Linked DNA regions of Arabidopsis thaliana. The protein of the gene in region 1 interacts with the protein of each later gene in a biochemical or structural test. Each region holds a gene or a part of one and is shown in the gene's direction. Other genes may lie near its edges.

Region 1 (7,058 bases):
CTTTTGGTTTATGATAAAGCAAAACAGAGTAACATTTGAGAGGTTTATGCTTGGTCTCGTAGCATTTTTTGTTTTTTTCTTCTCTTATCTTGCAAATCAGACGGTTGATTTTGATTGTCTTTTCTTCAGTGAGAGACTGGTAGCTGGTTTGATTTGCCACTGAATAACGAGAGTTTATTAAGTTGAGTTTTAAGCGGAATCGATTGAATAACCAAAACTCTTGTTGCAGGTGAGCAACAAAATGGATCCCTTTGAGCTGGTTAAGCTAGTAGAAATCCTGAATCCTAATAACAAGCCTGGAAGAATCACTGTAATTGTGAGAATGGGTGCCGAGAACATGAGAGTTAAGCTTCCCCACCTGATCAGAGCAGTCCGCAGATCAGGCCAGATTGTGACATGGGTCTGCGATCCAATGCATGGAAACACCATCAAAGCACCTTGCGGTCTTAAAACACGTGCCTTTGACTCAATACTGGTACACACTTTATAAGCTAAACCTCTCATAAGCGTAACATAGATTTGCCATAACAGAGATTTAAACTTCCTGTCTTTTTCTACAGGCTGAAGTCCGAGCATTCCTTGATGTGCACGAGCAAGAAGGAAGCCACGCGGGCGGTATCCATCTCGAGATGACAGGTCAGAACGTGACAGAATGCATTGGAGGGTCCCGCACTGTGACCTACGATGACCTCAGTTCTCGCTACCACACACACTGTGACCCAAGGCTGAACGCGTCACAGTCTCTTGAACTTGCCTTCATTGTTGCAGAACGGCTCAGGAAGAGAAGAACGGGTAGCCAGCGTGTGTCTTGAGTCCGGTTCTTCCCTTTTATACACTTTTTGATTCCAAACAAATCTTTTCTCTTTGTCCTGTGACTGTGAGTTGGTGTCTTTATGACCTAAGTTAAAAGCCCCAAAAGCCTCTCTAGGAGGAGTAAACCTGTTTCTGCTGTGGACAGACCATGTCATGTCATTGTTCTTTATGTTAACTTTAATGTCAAACCGTGTCACTTACACTAGTGTATATTTCTTTTTACATATCTACACGAACATGAAACTTGTCTTCTAGTTAGTACTAAAGATTGATCTTCGTCTTTCGGCTATTCGTAAACTAGAAATGAACAAATCTTTAGAAAACGATCTTCCAAAATGGCCCATTAGCTCAGTTGGTTAGAGCGTCGTGCTAATAACGCGAAGGTCGCAGGTTCGAAACCTGCATGGGCCATTTTTCATAATATCTTTTTTTTTCTTCTGAGTTTCGTCGTAAATAAACAATCCGACGCCGACGGTTTTGGGACCCCCCACTAATCAATATCGTGTCCCGCTCACTTAACCCAAAATATGATCCCCTACGTACCTCTTTACTCTCTTCTGGTGCTCCCAACAACCATACTTCGTCTCGATTTCCATCACGTGTTCTACACTTCTCTTTATTCCACGTGTCATGATCTTGGCTCATAGTCACTCTCAATTACCAAAGACTCTCACACACTAGATCATACAATAACACAACAATTTAAATCAAGCAGTCAATAATCAGCCAACTAGCTTTTTAATTTTCTCTACAATTCCTCTGTCGCTCTCACCAGTTAACAGCTACAGCACAAAACTGTAACCACGCTTCCGATCTCTAAAACCTGAGAGAGAGAGAGAGAGAGAGAGAGAGAGACAGAGAGAAGTGTTTCAATAGTTTGGCGTGAAGATGGCCGGAGGAGGCGGATACGGCGGCGCATCGGGGAAAGTTGATTACGTCTTCAAAGTTGTTCTAATCGGAGATTCGGCTGTTGGGAAATCGCAACTACTTGCTCGATTCGCTAGAGACGAATTCAGCATGGATTCTAAAGCCACCATCGGCGTCGAGTTCCAAACTCGTACCCTCTCCATTGAACAAAAAAGCATTAAGGCTCAGATCTGGGATACCGCTGGTCAGGAAAGGTACGATTTCTAAGATTCTCTGCGTTTTGGAATCTTAATCCGAAGAATTTTACTGGATCTGTAAATGTTTCCATGAAAGCGACTTGGTTTGACTAGAAGATGTTGCATAGATTTGTTTCCTATTTTGTACATCTACTTTATCTTGACCAGATCCTGAATTTGTTATCATCGAAATGTATACTTGTATTTAGTGTTTTATCCGATCGAACGATAAAGGGAATCTGGAAAATCATGTGTAGGAATAATGCTCCATCTCAATTTTAATCAGCATCATGTGTAGGTTCGAGATTTTGTGTGATTTTTAGCTGATTTGAATCAATTTGGAACAGAAGATTTGGAATCGGTCTTTCGTTTCGTGACTTTGCTTTTGTTGCTCTTAGCAGATACAGAGCCGTTACAAGCGCATACTACAGAGGAGCAGTTGGCGCAATGCTGGTTTATGATATGACGAAACGTGAGACCTTTGAGCATATTCCGCGTTGGCTTGAAGAACTGAGGGCGCACGCTGATAAGAACATTGTCATCATCCTTATTGGAAACAAGTCTGATCTAGAAGATCAAAGAGCTGTTCCCACTGAAGACGCTAAAGAGTTTGCTGAGAAGGAAGGACTCTTTTTCCTCGAGACCTCTGCTTTAAACGCAACCAATGTCGAAAACTCCTTCAACACTCTAATGACTCAGATATACAATACCGTGAACAAGAAGAATCTTGCATCTGAAGGCGACTCAAATAACCCCGGTTCATTGGCTGGTAAGAAGATTCTCATCCCAGGTTCTGGACAGGAGATTCCCGCTAAGACCAGCACTTGTTGTACTTCTTCTTGATCTGTCTCCTACTCAAGCAAGATTCATTTTTTTTCCTCCTGAAATTTGTGATAGAGAATGCTACTTTCATTGTATATTCTTTTTCGAATCTGGCTTGTTTGCTAGTTCATTAAACATTGGTGTGCAATTGGACACCGATAGAAAGTATTGGAACAAATAGCTTTTGAATGAAATATGAAACAAACAGTCTTTGAGAGTTAACGTCAGCTTCAAGCTGTCTCAGCAGTCTTGAAACAGTTCTCAGCTTTTTCTTTTTCTTTACTTCTATCAGAAAGCCTCTGGATAAGTTGGTGACAATCGACTGTTGTGACCATAACGGTTAAGCTAGCCTTGCCCTTCCAGCATCCAATGGCTATTGTTGATGAATTCACTTTGAATTGTTCTGACCCGAGCTGAGAATCTGTAGGAAGCACAAACAGTTAAAATCATATCCCACATGACCAACCAAAAGTATCTTATATAAAACCGATACACACCATCAACGAGAACCATAACGCAAGATCCCAAGGCTAGTTCTGCTGCTTTCTCACCAATCTGTGGATGTATGAAATCTAGAAACTTGATTGATTTGTGTTGCAGGAGATTCTTGAAATCCGCCATTGTTGCATAAAGTATTTGCTTGGTCATGTACGGAAGGATCACAGGCAATCCCTCTGACGTTATTCGGAATGAGCAACAGTTGGCTTCACATTCTTTTGCAGATTGTTTCTCCTGCGTTTTTGGTTAGTTAATAAATACCGCCTCTGCTATATTTGTATTTGATCAAGAGAGAGAGAGGGATGAAACTATATTGTACTTACAAACATCTTGAGGCCAACAGAGGAGATCTTGAGCGGCTTCCCAACTGCAAAATTAAGCTCAAGAACATTCTTAACTGCTTTCGAAACATAGTAAATCCTTTTCACGTTTCCGTGGCTGCTTATGTCGCTGTTTCTAGTCACGAGATGACCATACAGCGGAAACGATTCATCTTTAATGCCGTAAAATGTCTTGATCCCGTTGATCCCTGTTTGATCTCTCAAGAAAACAACAGGGTAAAGGCCTTTCCACTTCCCTTGCATTGATGGTACTTCTCTCTTGCCTTCTATATCATCAAGTTTTTGAGCCAATTCTACGATACCTTCATTCCAGGTGCTTTCCATCTCCGGCGGCTCAAAGCCATTCTCTGAAACTGTTGCTTCTAAAACTATTTCCTCTGTACCCTCTTCAGGTTTAGTAACCACAGTGTCAGATACTGCTTCATACGAAGAAGACTTCTCAGATGAGTTGATGTTGTTTCTAGTAGACAAATTCCTTTTCTGAGTTACTTTCTCCTGAAAGTCTGCAAGAAAATGATCCGGAATTCGTATTAAGGAATCAACTAGAGAGGTTATGCAACAGAAAGTTCTTCTAATTCACCTGGTAAAGGTGAAACTTTGTGAAGGACTGCAATGAAAAATCCCCCAGTGTTTTGATCATGAGGCAGTATCCTCATACAAAGTTCAAGGGGAAGATCACAGACTTCTTCGGCTGATTCATCAGAAGAGATAGAAGCCATTTCTTCATAGCTGTTTTTGCCACCCGATGAGTCTTTATCACTTTTACCAGAAGGAAACATGCTCCTAAGAACTCCGTCTCTCTGTGACTTTGGAACATCTTTGTAAGATCTATACCAGCCACCTCTGTCATGCACCTGAATCCACACAGATACAAACCATGATTAAAGCTTCATTACTACTCATCCTTACTTCAAAGTAATAGGTAATTTTTTACCTTCCATTTCGTAAGACCTGGTCTTCTAATAAGTTCTGGAAGCTTATCTGAGACATCTACAAGCTCAACAGAGCATCCACATCTCCTCAGAATCTGAAGAATACTAACAATATATCAGTATCCAGAAGAATAGGTCAACGGAGAAAGAAGAAAGAAACTATCAAATTACTTCAGCAACAACAGCTTCATCTTCAATTGGGTTCATTGAGCAGGTTGAGTATACCATTCTCCCACCAACTTTTAGCAGAGATAAACCTGAAACCATACAATGCAGATAAAAATCAAAACATAAGATTCTGAGACTCGGATCATCTGAGAAAAAAGCTTACCTCTCATGGCAAGCACAACCTGTAGACTATGAAGTCCATTGCCAGATCCAGAATTCCTGTGCAGAAACCGAGGAAAACAAGTAAGAATCTTGAAGCAATTGGAATCAACACATGTCAATTTAAAAACTCATAAATAGAGAAACCATCTTCGCCATATGTCTGGAGCCTTGCGCAGAGTACCATCACCACTACACGGGACATCACATAAGACACGATCAAAAAGAAGCTGATCGATGGGATGAGGATTAGTCTCAGATGCTACAGACAAGGTTCTCTTGGTGTTGCAACTGGGGAAATGTTGACCTTCGTTGTTAGTGACCATCAAATTGGTCGTACATGTTCTTTTCGTTTGGTGAATAAGAAGATTAGATCTTTTATAATCAACATCATTCGCCACCACCTGATTCAACCAAACAAAATTAGAAATAAACATGATCTATCAACCAAAAAAATGAGTAAAGATGAGAGAGTATTACAAACCATTCCATTAGGTAGAGATCCTGGTTCTGATGATTCATGTATTATTTCAAGCAGCTGAAATGTCTTGGAACCAGGTGCAGCACACACTGTTCAGACAAGTGAATCAGTTAACTATATTACTCCTCAAGTCCATAGCCATCTGTAATAATGTCGAATACAGTTCACTCACTGTCGAGAACAAAATGATCTGGATGTACATCAAGGAAGAGAGGAGGTACCTACGTAATCATAAAAGTCACCACGAAAACTATAAAATGTACCGATGAATGTCATTAAAGAATGTAACACAACCATACCATGCTAACTGATTCTTGCCTGGTCATGTTCCCAGCTTCAGTTTCTAACTTAAGAAACTCATGAAACCTGAATAAGACAAGTAAGCGAATGGAATTGAATACTTGTTCTGAAGCAACTGGCATGAAAATGTACCTCTCAAGTGTCTGGTTTTTCCTAATCTCCTTGCGTGAAAAATTAGAATGCCAAGCAAGATTCTTAGGATACCAAGGCAGAGGCTTGATAGCCTCCAATTCACCACTCTCTATAGCCTAAGTAAGGAAAACAAATCTGAGTGCTTCTTATTAATGAGAGACTATAAAAGAGAAGAGTCATGAATTAACCTCAGCCTGAAGAGATATCATGAAATCATTCTCCAATTTCAGTCGAATCTCATCACAAAATTGACCACTGAAGAATCATAAACAGAGACCACTTACTTAGTCAAACAAAAAAACTTATACTTTGAAGGATACTAAATGAAGTAAGGATACATACTTGGAATAAACTCTGAAAGCAGCAGGTAATGGCTTACGAAGAAACTCCATAAACGAATCCCACTCTTGAGCTTTCACTATTCTTTGTTCCTTATACACACCGCAACAATGTTGATTAGAAGAAAAGTTTCCAAATCCATGCAAGTGTCATTGATTCTATACAGGTACCTTGTAATACTCCTCAAAATGAAGATTTGAGCAGATGGGCTTTTGCAAGTTGTTGGAATCAAAGGAAGCTTCGGATTTGAGGGGTTTTCGAACATTGTCGTCGTTGCTATTTTCGATTTGATTTCTCTTCGAAGTTGAACCTCTGTGTCGTCTCCCTCTTCCCATTTTTGTTGTTACCGTCGCCGAGTTTTTTTGTTTTCGCCGGAGGCGTCACAGCGCCGATGGGTTTTATGGGTTTTTAAACTAAAATTGATTTCGGTTTGGTTTACATTGCTTTTGAGAAGAAAATAAATAAATAAGACACGCGACATAAAGCATGCTTTGGGCTTACGACTGGGCCGATAACCATATCTTCCAGCCGTCTTAACACTGAAAAGCCCAATACGTTTTGACTTCTCTGTTTCTTGCTTTTTAAGCCAATGACTCTGTTTTTTGACTTCTCTGTTTCTTTTACATGTTGTGAGTGACTTTTACAGAAAAAAAACAGTTCTCATTGTCCGCATCACACGTGGATATCCTCGCAGACATTTTCTCTTGCGTTGCGTCTCACGCACAGCAACTAAACACCGACACAGTCCTTAGAAGGAAGTTCAAGAGAGCATGCTCTCTAGTCTCTCCAAAACCTAACAGAGCCTCAACTACTTAACTTCGAGAACGAGGCTTACAAAACCTACATGATGTTCCTCCAATACATGGTTACTTGCAATCCAAACGTCTCCAAAGAACTAGATCTCGAGTCTCTTCTAGTCACTGAATGCGCAAAAATCGTGAAGATCTACCTTAAATGCACAGATCCACAG
Region 2 (5,727 bases), on another chromosome or scaffold:
CCAATCTCATAACTAAATCTAAAACAATAAAATGTAACCATTAAATCTAATTCGTTACGTATACCATAATCAAACGCATTAGCGTTACATTTATATTGGTTTTGCCTCCTTGTGATCAAAATTTTGACATCAAATAAACAAAAAAAATAACATGTACCTGATGAATTTACGTAGATCTAGAAGAAAAGAAAGAGGTTGTGGAATCGTGCCCTGAAATTGGGTTTCAAAAATTTCTGGAAAACAGAAGCAACTTTGGCCCTTAATATCGTTCATACACGGGTCTGAGCCGTTAGTTTTCTTCATTGAGACCAATATCTCAGCCTCTATAGACACGTGTCCATCTATTTTTAGGTTGGAGAATTAAGAAAACACCAGCCTAACCTGAAAATACGGTTTAGGCTCTGTTTTACCGGAAGAATCGGGTCACCGAACAAGCATGAGTGGTAATGAGCCCATTTGGGCCTAAGAAAAAGGTTAAAAGGCCATTTTCTTTAGATTATTCAATTTTAGACAATCAGTGAAATTTCAGTAACATTTCCTTCTAGTTTCTAGTAATTTATGTGTTCAACCGAAATTTCAGTGCTATGTAAAAGAGTGCTATCCAAACTATAATTAAGAAAAAGGGTAAAAGATCTTAGTGGGTGAGGTATGGAAATTGCTGAAAAAGTTCTGGGAAGAATGAGAGTAATGATGATAACGGTAATTGACAAATGTGATAATGATGATAGGGATATGTGCAAGTAAAATAATCAAGCATGTGCATAAGATTCATTATTTGACATGAGACTTTATTATGTGTTTTTGCTTATTATAGTTTCTTACAAAACAAATGAAGAAAGTAGTGAACAACATACAACAATACTAAATAACAGTGTGATTGTTGAAGAAATAGTTTCCATTTAATATTTAAAACTAGGCTTCCAAGGCCTTGACAAATTTCATTAGAGAAGGATTTATTTTTAATTAGTGGAATATATGATCAAGAAAATAAATTGACATTTTGGTATAGATTAGGGACATTGGAGACAGAGGGGTTGATTTTGAGATTGAATTTTGACTTTTCTGTGTATTTAGCTTTTAGCCACCAATTAAAGCAAACATTCATTCATTTTGTCATGTTGATCGCTGCACTTATCTAACTAGAGTATTATTCCCTTTTCGAGGTACCCAGAGGATTAAGCATTTTTTTTAAAAAAAGAGCCTAATACTTTACCTAATAACAAGAAACATGTAGAGTAGAAACAAGTAAAAAAAAGTTTAAAAGAAGAAGGATTAGATCAAAAGAAATAACTATTTTAGGATAATTTCGTTGTCCAGTTGAACTATTTTTAATTTTTCTTTTTAAAATATTTTCTTGCATGATTAGAGAGATAGAGGTATAAAACCTTTTTAATTCTTCAATTATCACTAAATCCAAAATTATAAATGCATTAACAATTTTGTTCTTCTATGACACCCCAAAAATGTCACCAACTACAGCAAAAAAGTGACCACTATATCCGTAAAAATTCGTATATTCAATCCGTGAAAATATAATAGTTGAAAAATATTCAAAATTTCACAAGAAAATTAGTAATTTTATAGAGAAATAATTTAAATGATAATATAATATATTAATGTAAAAAATAAAACAAACACAATCGTAACCGGTCCCGCGGCTTCGTGGTCGAATTTACCTTTGTTCCGGTTTAGTTCTTAAGCCGAGAGAATCGTACAAGTTGCAATAAGCTAAAGCCGTCAGCTAAACGACGCCGTTTTCGAAAAGTCCTCGTCTTCTCTCTCACACAATCTCTCTTTCTCAGAAATCTCTCTCTTTCGCACTTTCTGCAAATGGTTCTCTTCTTCCTTTAAGCTCAATCTCGCCACTGGAGTCTCAATCGGGAAAGATCTCCATCTTCTCCGGAGGAAAAACGGATCCGTAAATCGTGAATTTTTAAACAGAGAAGAATCAATTCAATGGAGGAAGAGAAAGCTTCTGCTGCACAGAGCTTAATCGATGTAGTTAACGAGATTGCTGCGATTTCTGATTATCGTATAACAGTGAAGAAGCTTTGTTATAATCTAGCGAGGAGATTAAAGCTGCTTGTTCCTATGTTTGAGGAAATTAGAGAAAGTAACGAACCGATCAGCGAAGATACGTTGAAGACTTTGATGAATTTGAAGGAAGCTATGTGTTCAGCGAAGGATTATCTCAAATTTTGTAGCCAAGGGAGCAAGATTTATCTGGTGCGTTTCTTCTTCGATTTATTAGCATCTATGATTAGATCTGTGTGGTCACTGAGAATTTTTGTTCTCGTTGACGAATTGGTGTTTTCATTGAATGAGAGAGCCACGTGCTTTGTTTTGCTATGGTAGTGTTTGAGTGATATCAATGCTTCTTTGGTATTTGATTAGATGTTAGATTTGGTAGTGGTTGATGTGACTTGATTGATCTATGGAAGTTGTTGAGAATTTGTGCTCTGATACACAAGAGATGTTGTTGTTCTGTGTGTAGGTGATGGAGAGGGAACAAGTGACAAGTAAATTGATGGAGGTGTCTGTTAAGTTAGAACAATCTTTAAGCCAGATTCCATATGAAGAACTCGATATATCGGATGAAGTTAGAGAACAGGTAAATTCTTGAAACCCAAGGCTGGCTAGGCCAGTGTCTGGATCAGTAAAGACGACATGTAGTTGATTCATAGCGTTTTTTTGGTTGTTGTAGGTTGAGCTGGTTCTTAGTCAGTTTCGGCGAGCTAAAGGAAGAGTAGATGTATCAGATGATGAGCTATATGAAGATCTTCAGTCGCTTTGCAACAAAAGTAGTGATGTAGATGCTTATCAGCCTGTGCTAGAGCGGGTTGCGAAGAAGTTACATTTGATGGAGATTCCTGACCTAGCTCAAGAATCAGTGGCTCTGCATGAAATGGTTGCTTCAAGCGGTGGAGATGTTGGTGAAAATATTGAGGAGATGGCAATGGTATTAAAGATGATTAAGGATTTTGTGCAGACGGAGGATGATAATGGCGAGGAGCAGAAAGTAGGAGTTAACTCTAGAAGCAATGGACAGACTTCTACGGCAGCGAGTCAGAAGATACCTGTGATTCCTGATGATTTTCGCTGTCCGATTTCGCTGGAAATGATGAGAGATCCAGTTATTGTTTCATCAGGGCAGGTATAGTTCACTTCAACCTCAGCTTCTTCAAATTTATTTCTGCGATCTCTTAAGATTTAATTATAGAAGCATGTTCTCCTCTATGTATAGACATACGAACGCACATGTATTGAGAAATGGATAGAAGGTGGACACTCGACATGTCCAAAAACACAGCAGGCGCTAACAAGCACAACCCTCACACCAAACTATGTTCTCCGTAGTCTCATAGCTCAGTGGTGCGAGGCCAACGATATTGAGCCTCCAAAGCCTCCGAGCAGTTTAAGACCCAGAAAAGTATCGTCCTTCTCATCTCCCGCAGAAGCGAACAAGATTGAAGATCTTATGTGGAGACTTGCGTACGGAAACCCCGAGGACCAACGATCTGCAGCTGGGGAAATCCGCCTTCTTGCAAAACGAAATGCAGACAACCGCGTGGCCATAGCCGAAGCTGGAGCCATACCTCTTCTCGTAGGTCTCCTCTCAACTCCTGATTCTCGTATTCAAGAACATTCGGTAACAGCTCTTCTAAACCTCTCCATATGTGAGAACAACAAAGGAGCCATTGTTTCAGCTGGAGCTATTCCTGGTATAGTTCAAGTGCTTAAGAAAGGAAGCATGGAGGCCAGAGAGAATGCGGCGGCTACACTTTTCAGTCTATCAGTGATCGATGAAAATAAAGTGACTATCGGTGCCTTAGGAGCAATTCCGCCACTCGTTGTATTACTTAATGAAGGTACACAAAGAGGCAAGAAAGATGCTGCTACTGCACTCTTTAACCTCTGTATATACCAAGGAAACAAAGGAAAAGCTATACGTGCAGGAGTGATTCCCACGTTGACTAGACTCTTGACAGAGCCCGGAAGCGGAATGGTCGATGAGGCACTCGCGATTTTGGCGATTCTCTCTAGCCACCCCGAAGGAAAAGCAATCATAGGATCCTCTGATGCAGTCCCAAGTTTGGTTGAGTTTATCAGAACTGGCTCGCCTAGAAACAGAGAAAACGCAGCTGCTGTTCTAGTCCACCTCTGTTCTGGAGACCCACAACATCTTGTCGAAGCGCAGAAACTCGGCCTTATGGGTCCATTGATAGATTTAGCTGGAAATGGGACGGATAGAGGGAAACGAAAAGCAGCGCAGTTGCTTGAACGCATCAGCCGTCTCGCTGAACAGCAGAAGGAAACGGCTGTGTCACAACCGGAAGAAGAAGCTGAACCAACACATCCAGAATCCACCACAGAAGCTGCAGATACTTAAAGATTGTCTTTGTTTTGGATCCTCGGGTCATCTCTTTCACGTACGTATGTTTATTATTCTCACTTTTTGTTTGTGCTACTCATCCTCCCTCGAGGTAGGATTCACGGTAGACGCGGAAGAGGGAAATGGCCTCCTTCTCCGATCTACTTTTAACTTTATGGTGATATCTTTGTGTGGACAGAGCAATCTGGTCCACAGGAGAGAAAAGCAAATATGCATACATACACGTCAACTTGTATCATTGTAACACTATGTTTGTAATCATTTCCACGAGCTTTTTTTTGTTTTCAATACAAGATCTCTCTGTTCGCTTTCTTAATAGCATTGAGATACTAATTGAATATAATGCAGATTCCCATTTTTCATGAACAGATGCGTAAACTGCTTGTAGAGTCGATAGATTCCATGCATAATGTTTCAATACAAGTATACAAAACTATCAAATAGTAAAATCTCAACCCGTTTTAAAATTTCTTAGAGAATCCATAGAACAAATATGTCTCCAAGCACAAATATAACATGTAATGTGACTCCACTACACTCATCACAAGTAGAGACCATTCCTTCGGATCATAGAGAGAGAGAGAGAGAGAGATAGAACACATCAAATACATTTCCAGTGTTAGATTATTATATATGTCGAACTACTTTACTAGATGTATTGTGCAAATAGATTCAAAAAGGGGTTGTTTAATTAGGGTTTAAGATTTTAGCAAAGTAAGGATATGAGTTTATTGCCCAAATCCAAGGTGTTCGGCTTTAATGTCGAAAACCAGAGATGGAACTATGAGATACTGTTTACAATGCGGTGACCCCTTTTGTAACATCTGCAAAGATGCGTGGCATAGTAACTTGTCGTGCGAAGATTACAAGAGATTGGGTCCAAATCCTACAGAAGATGATATAAAGTTCGAATCTTTAGCAAATCAGAATATGTGGCGTCAATGTGGAAATTGCAACCAAATGATTGAATTTTCTAATGGATGCATCAGAGTAACATGCATGTATCATCATCATCACATATTCACATTCTCTATCTGTTATAATTAATCCTTTTAGAATCTGTTTATGTTTTCACGTAATTAACAGTATCGTAATGTTCATGGTTGATGGATATCATATAGATGTGGCTACAAATTTTGTTACATATGTGGAGCCCAATGGAAGACATCAAGACAGGAGGAAGTTCCCCTCATCGAGAAAGCATGGTTGCGGAGGATGATCGTATGCGTAATTATCTTATGGGCGTTATGAGCGTTTCCGTAGCCACTAGAATGGTTCTACACTTGTGATGAGTGTAGTGGAGTCACTTTAAACGCGGGTTGATTTAATAGATT
Region 3 (5,296 bases), on another chromosome or scaffold:
CGCATGCAAGCTTCACGCTCCTTCTATCGCTACTTGTGGATGTAAGATCTATTCATTTCTTAACTTGTTTGTTTCTTAGATCTCTTCCGGTTTTGTAGATCTTAATTTGTTATGCTTAATCTTCGAGAGCGGTTTCTTAAATCCACATTTTTTCTAATTTTTTCAGTTTAATTAAGAAAATAATTTGTAGATTTTTCGAAACTGTTTTAAGATTCTATTTTTTGTTGTTGTTGATGTTGATTAAATTACTTATAATGCTTTTTTATTTTATTTTTGTTCTTACAGTGTCTGTTGCTCCAAGTACTGCTCCAGGTATTTTGTCTTTCTTCTTGGTTGATTTTTAATTTTACTCTTAAGTTTTGTCTCATGCAATGCTTTATTGTGTTTTTAAATTCCCACTTGAAAATTTTGAAAAGATAAAAATTGTCGATTGTTTGACTTTGATCATCTGGGTTCTCACTTAAAGTGAAAATGATTTATCTAAGATTCTACAATACAAAAAATTATAATTAATACGAACCATGACAAAAATTTGTGTGAATTCCTTATTTGTGATTTTCTTTGTAAAAATTTGCTCGAGTGATTGGAAATCTCTGCTCTTTTTCTCCATGTTAGTTATGTGATTTCTCGTTGAGATGTTTTACGCTTTTGAGATTTCTTAATGTGGAACCTAATTTTATCAGGTCTTGCTCCAGGAGTAGCTGCTGCTGGACCTGAGACAGCCGGATTTCTAGCTCCAAATCCTTCTTCAGGGAACGATGGATCTTCTTTGATTCCGACCTCGTTCACAACTGTACTCAGTGCCGTACTGTTCGTTTTGTTCTTCTCTAGTGCGTAAAAAAAAACCTGAATCTTTTTTCACCAGCTAGATTTGGCTGTATGAAATTGATTAATGGTTTTTATTAGGGTTAATCTATGTATGTTTTGGAGTGTTCTGTTTTTAGACCATATCGGTTTCTCTATTACTAGCGTTTACTCTTTTAGTTTATGTTATTACTTTGTCTCACAACATTGGTCCTTTTATTCGATCTATCGCTTATTCCTTCATCTATGTTTTCTCTCACACCCTCATAGTTATATTCGCCAAAAGCTCAGGCAGAAACATTCTCAAAGTCCACTATACAAAAAAGAAATACTACAAGTAACATTTATATATTCTTTTTAAGAAAATTATGGTGTAATATTGCAATGACTAACAACAAAATTCTTTAATTTCGTTTTAATTTTCTCATAAAAACTGTGTAATAAAATACAGGAAATCATATGATATCATTTTAGTAGATGAAATTTTCTCATAATATCGTCATTGTCAGTAAGTAAGTCCCAACTTTTTGTCAAGAGTATCATATTTATATTTTGTTACAGTGTAGTTTGACTATAGTACCAATTACAACTTGTTCTATGAAACGAGTACAAAATTTCTTCATCTGAAAAGGAAATGCATGTGTTAAGAAAATTAGAGACGTGAAAGTGAAAGGAAACAAAATGTTTCGTGGCATCGTGAAAGATATAAATATATATCGTATTTTTTAAAAATCAGATTATTACTTCTTGTAATTAGCTTATCAGATTCAAAATTCAAAATCTCAATAGTAATAATCTTTTGAAAGAAAATAATGAAAAATCAACTGTCAACAAAAGTTAATCAACTGTCCAAGTGTCCCGTTGTGGACAAATCACGTTTACTTCCCACCAAGGATTTTCAACTTTATTATGATCGCGTGGACTTTCCAGCGCACGTTAGATCTCCTCCCTCGCCAAACCAAAATAATAATTAAATAGTACGAATTACTAAAAACCAAAAAATTAAAATTAATAAAAAAATGAAAATAATTTAAAAGTATTGCGAACGATAATTACTTTCCCCTCTCTCTCTCTCTCTCTGTCTGCCACCAACAGCCGAGGACGACGACCGTATCTTCCACCACAAACTGCTTCCGGCTGAGACGACGGCGATCTACTCCGGCTAATTCTGTTACTTGATTCTGCTCTGAATTTTAACAAGCAGAATTTCTCGGATAGCAGGAAGAACGGGATTAATTAGCTCATCGCTTGGTTCTCTACGTGAGATTTAGTTTTGGATTCTGGAGAAATTTCCGATCGCCTTCGGTTTACGGCGATTGGAGTGAGTAGGATACGGAGAAATCTCTATTTTCTGTGTTTTTTTCGCGATTTAGGAAAGTTAAGCATTATAAAGCCAAATTTCGTCGATTTGGCATTGAGATTTTGAGCTTTGGGTGGTTATAGATAGGTTTTTTGAGTTAAGGTTTTACGGGTAATCCTAGGGTTTAGTTATTGGGGAAGAGAGAGGCTCCGTTAATCTGGTTTGTTGGAAGAGTCTCCTGGATCTGTTGTCTCGACGGATGATTTGGGTCTGTGAGCTAGGGCTTTTTATGCTTGGCTGATTAGGATGCCGATGGGACGCTTTCTATCTTTGGTCCGAGGAGACTCGGCTGAGTCACCTCGTGAGATTACCTCACAGAGTAATATCATCGGCGATACTGGTTCTAATGGTTGGCTTATTAGGTTTTTCGATTCTGCTTTCTTCTGTGAGTGGATTGCTGTTAGTTATCTGTACAAGCACCCTCATGCTGGTGTTAGGGATTACTTATGCAATAGGATGTATACGCTTCCCTTATCAGGTATTGAGAGTTATCTCTTCCAGATTTGCTACATGATGGTGCACAAACCAAGCCCATCGCTTGATAAGTTTGTTATAGACATCTGTGGAAAGTCACTGAAAATCGCACTGAAAGTGCATTGGTTTTTGTTGGCTGAGCTGGAGGATGCTGACGATAATGAAGGCATCAGCAGGATTCAAGAGAAGTGTCAAATTGCAGCTACTTTGATGGGTGAGTGGTCTCCTCTCATGCGTCCACAGAACGAGGTCTCAACCCCAGGGAGCAAGAATCAGGTCCTAAATAGACTTTTGTCATCAAAACAGAAGCTCTTCTCCTTAAAGCTATCTCCTCCCACCCAGAAGTCTTTGTCATTCTCACCTTCGCCAGGGACCAACGTGCAGGATGATGGTAGTCAGTTACCTGCTGAGGACAATAAGATTTTTAAGAAACTTATCCCAAGTCCTAAAGTCAGAGATGCTTTAATGTTTAGAAAGTCAGCTGACAAAGATGATGAAGAGAGTGAAAAGGAAGGATTCTTCAAGAGGCTCTTGAGGGACAGCAAAGGTGAGGGTGATGAACCAATACCTAACTCAGAGGGTTTCTTTAAGCGCCTTTTGAAAGACAATAAATCAGAAGATGAGGACATAACAAACAGTTCCGAGGGGTTCTTCAAGAGGCTCTTGAGTAGTAAAGGAGAAAGCGAGGAATTGACATCGAGTTCAGATGGGCTGTTTAAAAGGTTGTTACGAGATAATAAGGGAGATGAAGAGGAATTGGGTGCAAATTCAGACAGTTTCTTCAAGAGATTGTTACGGGAGAGTAAAAACGAGGACGAGGAGTCAAACCCAAACTCAGAAGGTTTTTTTAAGAAATTATTCCGTGACAGCAAACCTGAAGATGATAAAGTTCCTAAAGAAGTGGATGATGAGGACAAAGATGGGTTCCTTAAGAAACTTTTCAGGGAAAAAAATGATGACAAAAGACATGGTAGTGAAAAGAATGAAGCCAATGGAACAGTGTATGCCGATAAGAAATCTGGTGAAGAGGATGAGAGGGAGGGGTTTTTCAAAAAATTCTTTAAGGAAAAATCTGATGACAAGAAAGACATTGTCAAGGTTGATGACGGGAATGAAAGTGAGGGTGATGAATCTCCAGAATTTTCTCTTTTCAAAAGATTATTCCGTATACATCCCGAAGATGCAAAACCTACTTCAGAAAATGAAAATAGCAGCAATGGCTTAGTTGAAAGCAGTCCTGGGACAGAAAACTTTTTCCGCAAGTTGTTCAGAGATCGTGACCAATCTGTTGAAGATTCTGAACTGTTTGGATCAAAGAAACACAAGGAGGTTTGTTCTCGTTTGACTTGGTCTTTTGTGTTTCTGTCTTATTGCATATACTGGTTGCATTTGCACTGTTTTGACATTCAGTTTTCATTTGATCCACATCTTCAGAGTCATTTATCAAGATTCTTGTAGGATACAATCATATGTCTTTCCTTCTTTTGAATTTTACTTGACACAAATGTTGGCTGAAACAGGGTGGTTGTTCGACTTCAATTGATTATTTATCTATGCCAGACTTTTTTTCTTTCATATGAGCTTGATTATCTCATACCAATGTTTCTTATTATAACCATTGCAGAAACGGCCAGGCTCACCTAAACAGCGGGATGATACTCCATCTGGTAAGCCCCCGCTACCAAACAATACTGCATCACAATTCAGGAAAGGGGCTTACCACGAGTCGTTGGAGTTTGTACAAGCGTTATGTGAAACGTCATATGGTTTGGTAGATATCTTTCCCATCGAAGATCGGAAGATTGGTCTTCGGGAGGTGAAACTGACTTTTCTTATTGATAATTAAATTTATGTCAAATTCTACCTTTGTAGCAACTGACTAAATTTTATATTTCTTTTGTTTGGTTTTAGTCTCTTGCAGAGATCAATTTTCATTTATCGGAAGCTGAAATCACTGGAGGTATTTTTCTAAAATTATATTTTAAGAGTTATTATTTGGAGGTCTACTTTATATGTGTAGCTCAAATATATTGAGCCGGTATATATTCTATAGGCCATGTATGCTTTTCTCTGAAATAGTATGTGAACGTTTCATGCCCTGTTAAAGTTTCTGAGTGCTCATCGTGTTGCTTGTCTTAAATTAGTATTATGTCCGTTATATCATATTTATTTCCACTCTTGTTTGAAGAATCTATGTTTTTCCATCCTTGCTCTTTTATCACTTATTTTCCTCTCTTGTATAGGATTTCCTTGGACTTGTGTTTCTTTCTTGAGAGAATTATCTGGTCCAATCTTTTTGGCATCTAAACCTCCGCGTTTTTAAGGATTATTGAATTCTTTATTTTATATTTCGTCAACATTGTTTCTGTTGTGGTAAATGTTTTTGTTATCAAATTGAATTTCTATTCATAATTTAAATTCAAATAACCTTCCAGGAATTTGTTTTCCAATGGGGAGAGGAGTTTTTCGTGTGGTCCATATTCCTGAAGACGAATGCATTCTTTTGAATTCTAGGGAAAAGGCGCCATACATGATCTCCGTAGAAGTTTTGAAAGCAGAAACACCCAGGTAAAATCTACTTCTTTTAATAGGAAGTTACCTTCTTTTTTATATCCCATTAACCATACGAAGTGTGAAACTTTTCATGATAAAACTCTC

Evidence for each region.
Region 2: the proteins of RABA4B (region 1) and PUB13 interact in far-western blotting, tested with the Arabidopsis thaliana proteins (one study listed by BioGRID).
Region 3: the proteins of RABA4B (region 1) and PI-4KBETA1 form a complex in vitro, tested with the Arabidopsis thaliana proteins (one study listed by BioGRID).

What each region holds. Positions count from the first base shown.
Region 1 is NC_003075.7:18,541,021-18,548,078, forward strand, and holds RABA4B (RAB GTPase homolog A4B), read left to right. Parts: upstream 1-1,530; 5' UTR 1,531-1,701; coding exon 1,702-1,934; intron 1,935-2,317; coding exon 2,318-2,759; 3' UTR 2,760-2,958; downstream 2,959-7,058. Other genes in the region: DHS1 (3-deoxy-D-arabino-heptulosonate 7-phosphate synthase 1), read left to right, coding at 230-475, 561-812; AT4G40000 (S-adenosyl-L-methionine-dependent methyltransferases superfamily protein), read right to left, coding at 2,969-3,159, 3,236-3,470, 3,560-4,080, 4,158-4,431, 4,512-4,604, 4,681-4,766, 4,841-4,896, 4,984-5,240 and 7 more. UniProt on the Arabidopsis thaliana protein: Regulator of membrane trafficking. May be required for secretion of cell wall components in cells.
Region 2 is NC_003074.8:17,122,769-17,128,495, reverse strand, and holds PUB13 (plant U-box 13), read left to right. Parts: upstream 1-1,598; 5' UTR 1,599-1,956; coding exon 1,957-2,226; intron 2,227-2,494; coding exon 2,495-2,611; intron 2,612-2,704; coding exon 2,705-3,154; intron 3,155-3,244; coding exon 3,245-4,390; 3' UTR 4,391-4,765; downstream 4,766-5,727. UniProt on the Arabidopsis thaliana protein: Functions as an E3 ubiquitin ligase.
Region 3 is NC_003076.8:25,641,017-25,646,312, reverse strand, and holds the start of PI-4KBETA1 (phosphatidylinositol 4-OH kinase beta1), read left to right. Parts: upstream 1-1,834; 5' UTR 1,835-2,410; coding exon 2,411-3,967; intron 3,968-4,262; coding exon 4,263-4,454; intron 4,455-4,549; coding exon 4,550-4,598; intron 4,599-5,073; coding exon 5,074-5,206; intron 5,207-5,296. Other genes in the region: XYP1 (Bifunctional inhibitor/lipid-transfer protein/seed storage 2S albumin superfamily protein), read left to right, coding at 1-41, 286-312, 684-838. UniProt on the Arabidopsis thaliana protein: Acts on phosphatidylinositol (PtdIns) in the first committed step in the production of the second messenger inositol-1,4,5-trisphosphate. Necessary for proper organization of the trans-Golgi network (TGN) and post-Golgi secretion in root hairs.